Linked DNA regions of Drosophila melanogaster. The protein of the gene in region 2 interacts with the protein of the main gene of each other region in a biochemical or structural test. Each region holds a gene or a part of one and is shown on either strand. Other genes may lie near its edges.

Evidence for each region.
Region 1: of the proteins of Zw (region 2) and Sik3, one has a biochemical effect on the other in vitro, tested with the Drosophila melanogaster proteins (one study listed by BioGRID).

What each region holds. Positions count from the first base shown.
Region 1 is NT_033778.4:18,686,219-18,691,281, reverse strand, and holds the start of Sik3 (Salt-inducible kinase 3), read right to left. Parts: upstream 3,151-5,063; 5' UTR 2,732-3,150; exon of another isoform or gene 2,634-2,731; intron 1-2,633. Other genes in the region: CG42855 (uncharacterized protein), read right to left, coding at 3,603-3,833; CG44433 (uncharacterized protein), read left to right, coding at 4,666-5,063.
Region 2 is NC_004354.4:19,665,117-19,672,860, reverse strand, and holds Zw (zwischenferment), read right to left. Parts: upstream 5,610-7,744; 5' UTR 5,260-5,609; coding exon 5,241-5,259; exon of another isoform or gene 5,115-5,240; intron 3,140-5,114; exon of another isoform or gene 2,794-3,139; intron 2,522-2,793; exon of another isoform or gene 2,448-2,521; intron 2,378-2,447; coding exon 2,118-2,377; intron 2,056-2,117; coding exon 1,838-2,055; intron 1,753-1,837; coding exon 675-1,752; 3' UTR 508-674; downstream 1-507. Other genes in the region: et (eye transformer), read left to right, coding at 1-225; Ssu72 CTD phosphatase, read right to left, coding at 7,508-7,609, 7,668-7,744. UniProt on the Drosophila melanogaster protein: Cytosolic glucose-6-phosphate dehydrogenase that catalyzes the first and rate-limiting step of the oxidative branch within the pentose phosphate pathway/shunt, an alternative route to glycolysis for the dissimilation of carbohydrates and a major source of reducing power and metabolic intermediates for fatty acid and nucleic acid biosynthetic processes.

The DNA.
Region 1 (5,063 bases), on a different chromosome or scaffold from region 2:
GTGATAGCGGTGGGGAACAGAGAGGGGTAGTCGTCAAAAAGCTCATTGAAATCAATTTAGACCAGAGTGTGTGCGAAGAAGAGGAAGCAGGCGGCGACGACGACGATCAAACATTAACCCAACCAACACTCGCCACACACTCGCATAATCCAAACAAATTGTTTTCCCCCAAAACTTTCTCGTGATATTTCGCGGGTGTGAAAAGAGCCGCGGCAGCTGGACACCTCACCCTCTCGCTTCCTCTCACATCCACCGATTTTCTCACATTTCTGAAAGGTTTTCGCGTACGCTTTCCTATTGTTTATTTGCATTTATCAGTGGAAAGACACAAAACAGTTGTAGAATTTTTGTGGAATTAGCAAGCGAATGGCATACCGCAGACCGAACCACGCGAAGTACGAAGCGGACGGAGTCAAAAGTCAAAACTGAATGAACTTCCAACCTGGAAGATACTTCTCCGGCTAACTGAAGCCGGGGAGGCTGCGACCTCGCTTCCAGCCAGCCACACACACTTCCAGCGCAGAGCGAGAGGGAGCGACTGTAAGAGGGAAACAGAGCACGCAGCACTATGTGGTGGGGATGTAAAAGACGTCACCGGGTCAAAGGTGCTAAAAATCCACTATATATGTATCGCACGGTGTACTCAAAGAGGAGTTACTCTATTCATTATTTTTTTTAAACTATAAATAATTTAAATAATTTATTGAATCATTATTAAAGTCTAGCTTTAATTCGCTGAATGGAAGTTAAAAAGTATTGAATTATACAAAAGACTGATTTGAAGCAAAGTGTGATTTGAACCTATACATATGTAAATCTTTGAACTATCCGATTTTAAACTGCTACAGTAAATATATCCTTAAATAAACATAGAGAACCTTAACATTTAGTAGCATAAAAGTGCCTACTACTTGAAAAAAACGCTTTTAAAACTGCTTTTGAAGCAAGAGTTGGGTATTCAACGTATCTGGCCAATTTTGCTGATAACTAGCAGTTGTTTTGACTCTTTTTTACCAAATCGGAGAGACAAAAATGATTAAAAAAATAAAAACAACAGCAAGCGAAAGGCAAAAAAGAAACGACAAGTAAAATAAATGAGGCAACAAGCCGAAAGCAAAAGAGAGCCGAAAAACCAAAAGCAGCAGCAACAACAACTAGAGAACTTGGACTTACACAGCATCCAAAGCCAGACAGAAAAGCAGACGGAAAGAGAGGGGGCGAGTGGGAGTGGGGGTGGCGAACGGTGGGTAGTGGGCAGAGAAAAAGGGATAGGGCGACGGAGCAAAGCAAATATGCGAGAAGAGAGACAATCGTGGGTTCTCCATCGACTGACAAAGCTAAGAGGGAGAAGGCACTATCAGCAGGGCGCCCATTTGCATGTGTGCGTGAGCGGGGGCGCAGCAACAGCTTGTGTATGTGTTTGGGGGCTTGGGACTCCAAGGAGTCAAGGAATTTTACAGGAAAACTACCGCAACCCGTATGAAAATTACAATTACTGGGGCATACACAAAGAGAAAATGTGATCTGTGCTATGAATTTCAAAATAATTTTTGTAACTCCAAGAAATAGCCAACTAAACTGAAAGAAATACTATTGAACGTTATTTTTACAGATTTTTAAATATATTTTAAAACATTTATAAAAACATTTTTAAGGTTTCTTGGGTTAATTCGCAGTGACATATTTGCTTTAGAGATAAAAAAAATCTCAAAACTCATTTAAAATTCAAAACATAATGAGAACGTACTCTTTGCTTCTCAGTAGTAATTTTAAAAAAACAGTAAAGATTGAGCAAAACGAATTTGGGCTTTTCGCTTTTGCTCAATCCATACAAAAATAGCTATCAATTCATTTTAGGAATGTCCATTTCGACTTTCAGTGTTGTAGTTAATGAAACAAGATTTTATTCAAGATCACTACACTTCTTTTATTCCCGTGCAATTGCATATGTGTGACGACAAAAGAATGAAAAAGAACTTGTCGAGGTCGCACGCACTCACACACACCACACACTGTTTACAGGAGAAAGCACCTGCAATTGATAACGGGTCGCCAAATGGTAAATAGTACAAACAATGCATACGCAAGGTGTCCAATTAGACCACTCAACGGCAATTGGCTTTTCGCTGCCCCTTATTTGCGTTTTACCGGAGTTGCAATGACGTACGCACGCACACACACACATGCGTATAAAAGCGAACGAGTGAGAGAGACAGAGAGCCCCCACCGCAAACATACAACCACACACACACTCGTACACGCTCACACCGTTATGTATGGGAAAACGTCACGACTTCCAAAGTGGAAAATCGTACGCGCATTTTTTTTGTTTTCCTTTTTCCACGGCTCGGAATCGAAGGTAAAACTTGCCGCAGCGCACGTCACATAATTGCCATTCATGAATATGTTTTTAGCTTCCGCATCTCGGTGGCCATTCGAGATGGCCGCGTGGGTCACGAGCTCTTTTATTGCACTCTATGCTGTGAACTGGTGGAAGCGCATATCGTGTCACGCGCTCATCACTGGAAATAGTTGCTCACCACACACACACATGCAACAGCGCTGCTGCTGCTGTGTTGTTGTTATTCCGCTTTTCTTTCAGCCTCCGCAAAAACAACAATAACAACACTCACAAAAGCTGGTCAAATACAAAACACACTTGTAAATTTATTTAATCTTCGCTCCACCGTTTTTTTTTTTCGATTTTTTCATACGCTCTGGTCGCGCTTACACATTACGATTTCTATCTCTCCGCTCTTCTTCATTTTACTTGATTTCCATTTGTCGCTTCCTCCGCTTTTTTTTGTATTTCGCTGGCGAGATTTCTTTTCACGTTGAATTTATACTATATTGCATTTATATTATTGCGCTTATCACTGGCGCTTTGTTGCTGGCTTCTTGCCTTTCGCTTACATATTATATTCACTTGGTTGGTGTGTGTGTGTTTGCACTGAACAATCGGATGCGGATTCGAAATCGCGTGGGCGCAGCGTGCGACGCGTAATTTTGCATTTAACATTTAACATGAACACACATAAATAATCGCCCTCGGCTGTTCTATTGGAATTTTTTTCTGTTATTCGTGCCGTCTACGGCGATTCTGATTGGACAACACCACCTGCTCGCGAAGCAAAAACTCGGCACCGACTCAGTGTGGCCGTGTAGCGAAGCAGACAAAATGACGAAATCGATGACGACTGCGAGACAACTCTGTGGAAGAAAGCGGATATTAGCCAACACTAAATGCAGATTTAAATTCGTTACATATTTACCAATACAATGTACATTCGATTAAAACACTTAAATCTGTAAATGAAAATTATATGTGTGCTTTAGACTTGTTGAAAATATATAAACAATGTTTAGCCTGGAAGCAAACAAAGAAACAAAACATTAAATTTATAGTAATAAAATAAAAGTTAATAGCTTGTAAGATTTTGAAGTCCTCTCTGCATCAATTTACAAGGCTTAAAGTCTTAACAAAAGGTTGGATTTCTCTGCATACTTTCAGGCGTCCATCAAAGAGTATATGGTAAGAATCAGAGCAATTGCTTTAGTAAAATACTAACCAATGAGTCATTATTTCCCCAACTTTTTGGAGCTTAGAGATAAAGTTGGCGCTTTTGGCTGGAGGATTTTTTGGGCGGCTCCGCGGTTTGGGGTCTCTGGCGTATCACCCTGGTATTCTGGGGCACCTGTCGCACTTTCTGGATCAGGATGGTCTTCGGAATCTCACGAGCCTCGTACCATCCGGGATTTACGGCTTTGACCCACGAACTGGCACAGCACTCGAAGCTGCTCAATAGTTTTGCCACACCGCCAAAGGAGACCATTTTTCTTGAGAAATAAAACTTAAAAAATCTATGGAAAATATAGAACAATCTGAAAACTGGATTATGTTCACTTGAAACTTGTAAATGAAATGAGTTTATTTGATTGTCTGTTCATGAAAGTCCTTTTCGACGCTTGCTTTTGTAACGGAAATTTCTACTTCCTGCGCAGCTTGGAATACGCACGAAACCAAGTGGCATCTTGGAAGGACCCCGTCCATGAATGAATGCCTTCCAGCTGGCCGTTGATTCAACTTTCCACCAGCAGCCACCTGAATGAAAATGGAGCCGGGAATTTCACTACACCACTAAAACGGAAATTGCGTAGGTGGAGAGAGAGAGAGAGTAAGAATGAGCGAGAGGACCAAATGAGTTACGCACCAGGAGTCGCGTGACGTCATTTCAAAGTTTGTGCACCACTGCGAGAAACTAAGGAATATATATAAGACAGAATTTAAACGATTTAAATTAATTTGAAAACCATATTTTGAAAATACATTTAAGATTGAAAGTTTTATATTACTTGAATGGACAAATAAATTTTTTTTTTTTTTTTGATAAAAATATGTTGTTTATCACAAGAATGAACAAAATATTGCAGTTCTATAGCCTTATAAACAAACATTTCATAGCAGGCCGTTTACCAATTGTCAGGGTTTTTCCAATAACAGATATGGCACCAAAAGTGCATCCAAAATTTTCAATGAACCCACAAGCCCCAATTAAACCAGAAAAAAAAACTATTCAACGGCAAAGCAAGCCAGCAGAAACTTTCAGAGTCAGCAGTTGAAGAACAAAACCTCAAGCGAATCAATAAGAATCCATTAAATCCAGCATGGTTCGGAGAAGGGTACTGACTAATTCGGCCAAGCAGGCTTCGATGAATGCCTATCAGCAGCTGTGGCAGCAGCAGCAATTCGCCCGAGCTCCATTAGTTGCCGCTATGCCAGAATATTGGCATTCCGTGTGCAACAAATTTGGTGGCGCCATGCCGCGAATGGCGGTTTTAGCTCCGCCGGAAGTCAGTAGCCGGAAATTGAGTCGTTTGCGAGGGCAGCTAATGAAATCCCAGCGAAAAAGCGCTTCGATTCAGAGCTTCATACCAAACTACGGACTGCAGCAGCATCCTCAAATGCAATTTCAAAGGGGCTATCAAAACGCCAGCAATGGATCCTATCCAAGTCGAAGTGTTTCTAAGGCAGCTCTGCTGACACCCGGTTGCATCTTAGCTGC
Region 2 (7,744 bases):
TATCCCGCCAATGTTCCGCCGGAGAAGTTCTACGGCACAGTGCGCAAAACCGTGACATTTGCGGAAGAGGAGCCCACGAGGTGGCCGGAGATAGAGCTGCAGGAGGTGCCCAGACCACAGCCCGTGCCCCAGGCCGATGCGTACGTAACCAATCAGTATGTGTCCATGAGCGCAATAGGCGCGCCCTGCGGCGATGGGTACATCAAGCCGCCACCCGTGCGCTGAAATCTCTCGGGAAGATTGCTGCCCGCTCTTGTTGTAGTTCGCCTGTAAATCTATATTCGAGAGGAGCCGCTAGTAACTAGCCCGGCTCAGCACCGAAGCCCACTGACCAGAAGCATACTCATTATTTAGTTAGTATTACAACCGTAGGGTTACGTTTGCCACCCATCTGCCATCCTATGAAGGATCTATTTATGTACATCGACACGCATGCGATCGGCATCACCACATACACATCGAACTAGCCGGGATTATGAGTTAGAAGATCGTTCTGCTCCAGCTAAACACTATTTTGTATATTTAATAAAAAAAAATCTTGTACAGACCGAATTACAAATAACCAAAGAATGCATATATGTATATATACATATATATGTATGTATGTACATGTACGTGCGGACAGAGAGGAGTATCCTGCGAACCCAGCCCGGGGATTGGTGTGCTCCAAACGCTCAGTGATTGGACGTGGCCGCCTTGCCGCCGTGCCACTTGTAGGAGCCGGAGTACTTGAAATTGTTCTCCTCGCACTTGCGGTCCGCCTCCTTGGGACCGCGCGATCCGTACTGGTAGGTGATTGGCCGAATGTGCTCCTTCTCGATCTGGTGCAGAATGGGCGTAAATATGCGCCACGCCTCGCGCAGCTCGTCCGAGCGGACGAAGTGCATCTGGGAGCCGCAGAAGACGTCGAGGATGAGACGCTCGTACGCGTCCGGCAGGTAGGAGTCCTTGTAGCGGTGCTCGTAGGTGAGGTCCAGCTCCGTCTCCTCGATGTCGAACGTGATGCCGGGGCTCTTGGTCATCATCTTAAAGTACAGGGCCTCGCCCGGCTGGACGCGGATGACCAGCTCGTTGCGCTTCGTATTGCCCTCGAAGATGTCGCCGGGCACGTCCTGGTACTGGATACGCACCTCCGCCTTGCGCTCGTTCAGCGCCTTGCCGCAGCGCAGGATGAAGGGCACTCCCTGCCAGCGCTCGTTGTTGATCTTGAGCACGCCGAGGGCGTAGGTGGGCGTGTTCGAATCGTTGCTAACGGTGGGGTCCTCCACGTAGCCCGTGCGCGCATCATCGTTTGTACCCTGCGGATTGCCCAGGTACTGGCCCAGCACCATGTCATCCAGCGTCAGGGCCTCGATGCTCTTCAGCACCTTGACCTTCTCGTCACGAATGTCGTCCGGGTGGCAGCTCACCGGCTTCTCCATGGCCACCAGCGAGAGGATCTGCAGCAGATGGTTCTGCATCACGTCGCGTATGATGCCGAACTCGTCGAAGTAGCCGCCACGACCCTGCGTGCCGAAGGGCTCCTTGAACGTGATCAGCACGGAGGCGATGTTCTCGCGGTTCCACGTCGAGCTGAGGATCTTGTTGCCGAAGCGTATGGTCATCAGGTTCTGCACCATCTCCTTGCCCAGGTAGTGATCGATGCGGTACAGCTGATCCTCCTGGAACAGACCGGCCAGATGGTCGCTCAGCGCCTGCGAGGAGGCGTCATCCCGGCCGAAAGGCTTCTCGATAATCACGCGGTTCCAACCGCTGCAAGCGAACGGGTTATAGGTGTACATAAGTATCGGGTTTCAAATTAAATGCATCTGGATCTTGATCTTGATCTTATACTCACCAGACCGACATGCAGATCTGCTTGATGTTGACAGTCACCTCCTCGAAGACGCTGGGCGGCAGGGCCAGATAGAAGATGCGGTTGGCCTTGTTCTTGTTCTCCATAATCTCCAGCTGCTGGTTAAGCAGCTCGAAGCCAGTGCGTCCGTCATATCTGCCGGACACGTACTCATTGAGGGCCCAGAACTCCTCGTACTTCTTCTGCTCGTGCGGCTGGACCTGTGTGGCAATGGGTTGGGTTAATGCGATGCAAATGGCCTATGACCAAATCCCGAACGCACCTTCATGTACGGCAGACACTGCTCCTTGATGCTATCGACGGTCAGCATGGAACGGGCATAGCCGCAGAACTTGGTCGGCTTGGGCAGCAGGTCATCGCGGTAGAGCCACCAGAGCGTGGGGTAGATCTTCTTCTTGGCCAGATCGCCCGACGCCCCAAAGATGACGAACGTGTGCGGAATCTTGCCGTCAAAGTGGGTTCCCTCGCAGACCATTGTAGGCGACTTGAGTGACTTGATTATGAGATCCAGGGCGGTGTGATCTGTGGGCACATATGAAAGGCGGATCTGGTTAGGCTTACTCTGGCTTTGAATTCCACTTAAGACTATTACTCTGTGGCTCTGTGGATATCCAGGAATTTCTACTTGTTTTTTTCACTAAGTAACTTTTTTCAACTGTCAAAACTTTATCAAAGGGAACTAAATGAACTAGAAATAGTTATAGCTTCCTTAAATGCATTGCTTTTACTGCTAAACTATAAAGTGAGAATGGTATAGGGGTTCTCTACTTCTTAGTTGTTAGTTGCACAGTGAGAAAAACAAAAAAAATGCTATCAGCTTTAGGATGTGCGGGAATTTTCAGTGACCTTGCCCTTTGGCTTGCATAGATCACCGGGGGACTCATCGACTCCGTATGGTTGGTGATTGGTTGGTCAGAATGAGCTGCGTGAGGACTCACCGAGGGCCTGGAGGCAACTGATGGTCTGGGCCCGAATGCAGACTATTTGAAGGCCTATTCAATGTCAAGGGAAGGGGGAGCGATAAGCACTCGATAAGACCGGGGTCCGTTGTCTAATCAACTCCGATCCGATCCGATCCGATTCGATTCGATTCGATTCGATTCGATCCCGATGACTGGCCAAAGAATCCGCCAGAGGTCAACCTCCGCAGCGGGCGCTAATTGATGCCCGGATAGCTGTGGGCTGGGCCAGGTGGAACTGGGTTAGGTGGCGGAAGCTTGGCCAGGTGTAAAAGGTGGAGCAGGTGCACGCGCGTATCTTCCGATGCGGTTGCACAAAACGAATAAATCGCCGCGCTGCGGTCGACTTTAACAAGGTGTAAGCGATGAACCCGGCAGCGACGTCGACGGCGAGGCGAACTTGGGCACAAAGTGCAAGCCAAGTGCTCCGGACGTATGTATGTACATACATCACTATTCACCGTATATCCAAACTTGGCTTCGGAACGGGCAGCATCAGTCGATCGCGTGGCGGGAATGCGATCGGTCGGATGATCAGATGAACCCACGATGGCATCACTTCCCGCACAGATCGGAAGAGATTACAGTGTTGTATGCTTAATGGATGATATATACTTGATCTGCTGCTATGTGATCTACTAGGGATACTGTTCTTGCAAACTAGTAACTAGCCTTTAGTAAACCTCTGTAGTATATCTCTAAAAATAACTACGAGTATGTAGATAGACTTTTTCAAAAGTTCAAAAATCTCAAAATCTTGAAAACCTAAAGCTCCCCGATTTTGAATGTGTGCACGTTCGTATCTTAGAGGTCATAGGAAAATCATTCGGAAAATGTTTCAAAAAGGTTGTGAGCCAATAATGGAGGCACTGTCGCGGTGTCATAACATAGATTTCGATATAATGAGCTTTTGGAAAATGAATGGAGGAGGGGCACTGCGTTCGTTTTTGAGAATCATTGTGTGTCGTTTAAAAAGGGTTGCGAGCCACTAATGCAGGCACTGTCACGGTGTCATAAAATATAGATTTCGATAATATGAGCTTCTGGAAACATCATGGGGCACTGCGTTCGTTTTTGAGAATCATTGTGAGTCGTTTAAATGTCGAAGTGGATGGGTCTCGGTGAATCACGTGATTCTACGGCGGGCTACCTGGGCTCTCCGAAGATATGAGTTGAGCTGGAATTTAACCCTAATTCCGAGGCCGATCTCTGCGAACGCCGGTAATGCATACTTTTCGGCTGTAGGAGCTTCGAAAGATTACACAGCCAGTGAGTTGGATGGTGCTGGTGGATGGATGGATGGTGACTAAGAGGCTAGCGAGCTCCTTCAAATGCCGAGATTGTGAGTCACAAGCCGACAGTGGTGTTTGCCTAGCAGGAACATAAATGACTTTAACCTTTTTTTTGAGTTTGCCATATGTCTTAATTTCCCGTTTGTTTTGCCTTGCTTGCTCAAGTCTTCGCATTTTTGCTTGACTCAGCTTGGTTTCACTTATCGAAGCTCGACTGTAATCTCGGCCGCATCGCATTTGACATTGACACAGACGAAGCGAAGGCATTGGGGCAAGGAGAATGGAGATTGGAGAATGGAGAGCAGCCGAATGTAGAGGGCGAGTGGAGAAGGGAGAAAGTAATAGGCGGTGAGCAAGGTAACGCGTTTGAATATTATTAACGCCAAGCGAGTTTGCATTTGTTGTCCGCTGTTGTTTTTGTTTTCTTTTTTTTTTTTTTGGTTTCTGTTTGGAAAGGCTTCTCGTGTAGAACGCAGGTGGGCAGCTAATTAACCGTGCGTAGAATGTACACATGCATGCGTTCCAATGTCATTGCCACAGAGTGGAGAACGGAGATTGGGGACTGGGGACTGGAGAGTTCGCGCTGCCGCCAAAGGTTATTGCTATTGCCGGGTTCTAATCTTGGAGCACGCAGCGAGTGTTTGTTTTAGCTGGCCGCTCGGATCCAAGCCCGTCCGATGGCCAAGAGCGGCGCCCACACGTCATCGCTCGGCTGGATGGGTAGTTGGGGGAGTGAGTAGTAGGCGTGGAGGAGTGAGAGTAAGAGTGACAGGTGGAGAGTGGCCAGTGGTAGTGGAGAGTGGAAGTATGAAAGTATGATAGAGAGCGGTGCGGGTGCGGGAGCGGAGCAGCGGTGTGGCCTCTCCTGTGATAAGAAGACAGTCGGCCGAGTCCGCGTCCTCTGCTTTTTGTAGGTGACCCCCAGTGCCAGGCGAAGAGCACATTTGAAGGGCGCACTGGCACGGGCACTGGCACTGGCACTGGCTCTCGCACTCGCAATCGGATTCCGATTGGAAAGCCAGTCCACCTGGCGCGACAGTGATCGCGGCAAGTACGCGCCCGAAAATCGAATTGGTAACAGTACGCGGTGTGGAATCCAATTCGATACCAATTGCCCAAAGCTGCGATACTCACCTTCCTTTTGCGTTGCCATCTTGACCCGAATGTGAATGGATTTTTCTGTTTAAAAGCAAAAGTGTGACAACTATGTATACGCAAGCCTTTCGATTCGGATTTCCAACTCGATATACGATTTCTCCAGTCGCTGGATTTTGAGCAACCTCTGCGGCTCTGGCTGTGTAATTACAAAGAGTTGCGGCGCTTTAATCGCACGCGCAGGTCGTCGTCGTCGGATTCACTAACTAGTAGCGCAAACGTAAAACAAAGCGAGTACGGGTACGGAGTCGCGAAGCCTCGGTGGAAGCGGTAGTAGTAATGAAGATAAGCACGATCGTTCCCTGACTGACTGAAGCGCGGCGCGAACCGCCGCAGCAAACAAACGCCCAAGCAAGCACTGCCAATGGCAACAACACCAACACACCAGCAACAACAGCTAAAGCAGCAGACGCTTTGTAACCCCGACTGCGCAGCTGATCGCAGACAGGAGCGGATTCAGTGCGCGCGGGGGCCCATTCGATCTGGATTTACATGTGAATGGAATTGATGGATAACACATAAATATACAAATAATACGATATCATAGTATAACATGGAAATAAAACTGTTTAATCTGAGAGCATTGATCTGATGCGTTGATGAGTTTAATGATGAAATTATGCTAGAATTATGATTCCCACATTACTAAACAACACCCTTACAATTTCTAATCCTACCTAGAATCACGTCGTATTTGGTCAGTGAAAACGAGCAAACGTCAACATTTCTTTTTAGAGTTTAAATCATTTATTATTATTCATTAGTCAGTAGGAATCGATCAGTTCCTTCTGAAGTTAACCTAATGTGTAGCTTAAAAGATATTATGGATTCTGTTCCTTAATTATAGTGTATACAAATGTACCGAGGAGAGATTATGCTATATTACGTGTAAGGAGTTCATGGGGATGTATTCTCTTCAGACATCGGAGGGAAATAGGGTCGACAAGATCATTCGCTAACGTGTTTAAGTGGGCGCTAAGTCTGTCGGCATATCGGCTGCTATGGAAGTTTATTTGGTACCCCAATGGGACACCTTTTAAGTCCCCTTCAATAACTCTATTGCTCACATACCACATGTAGCCCAGATGCATGTCGTGCCGCTCCCGATTGTCTTACTCTAATACTCTGTTCCCCACACTTGGATATGGCTTTTATTAAGAGAGCCTTAGTTGCCATATGGAGTTTGCTTGAGTGGAAAACCCAGTCCAGCTTTTTCAGTTTCCAGGAGCCGTGATAAGGGCTTTCCAACTCAGCGTCCGATCAAGGTGAACTCCGAGGTAGCAGTGGGATGAGACGTAATCAATGGTATTTCCGTCGAAGAGAAGACCTAGGCAGGTTTGAGGTCGCAGGGTAAATGTGACACAGGCCGTCAACAAGAAACCGGCATAAATTGGCGTGCACTTTTATTCCAATCCTTAGTGAACACAACTCCCCTGTTGTTTATTTTCTATTGCAAGCTAGCGCCCGTTGCGGGCCTTTGCCTTTGGTTTAAAACGCACAGCCCCAACCAAGGTCGGTCGGGTTTGCCCTGTCTGAACAATTGGTAAAACTGTGTAAAATTAAAAAACGCGGCCCCTGCCCGCGAGGGCCCAGACCGTTCCGCCCCTGTGTGGCTCTCTGGCGTGCATGCTCATTCACACAATCACGATGCGAGATTTCACTTTATGTGAATCGAATCCGAATCTGAGTCCGAATCGGACTCAAAGCCGGGCGAAGAGAGCGGCAGAGCGGCCGAACGGGAGAACGGGTCGGAGTCAGATGGTCGGCGCCTTCGCCAGCTGAGGGAAGCGAGAGCCTGTGATAAGACCCCCAGTCGACGGGCGAAATTACAAGGAATACGGACACGTACACATACTACTACAGGGGTTTTGGGGGGCAGCCGTGTGGAAATGGTCGTCATTGGTTGTGTGTTATATTCCAATTCATTAGCCAGTTGCTTGCATGTGTGGTGTTGATGTGGATTACGAATCAGGTGTTTGGAGTATGCGAGTGTGTGGGTGCTGGTCGTTGTTGGATGTGCTTTCGCTGCAGCGATGGCCCCTCTCTATTTACAGTATTCTTATATGCTAGGCTACCAATCCGGAACCCAGGATCCGCACGCGCTGCGCGCAATGCCCGACGTCCTATGCTCTGCGATCGCAGCCCCTGGGGTACAAGATCGAGTGACTCGGCTGGAGCGCGTCGGGGCTACGGGAGTCTGGTGTTGGTGCTGGAGCTGGACACGAACTGTTAGCAGACGTCGGTCGTCAGTAGAAGAGCACCGAGTGCAGGATGACCCGCTTGCGGCGCTCCTCGAACTCCTGGATCAATTCGTCGATGTCGTTGTCCAGGTCCGTGGACTTGGCCATCTGCAAAGGCACAAGAATCGTTGGGCGAATTGAGGGAATGGACGACAGATGATCATACCATGTTTATCATGTCTGTGATGACAAAGGCGCCCATTAGCGCATCTTCAGCGTTGTCCACCACATCCACGTTGAGAA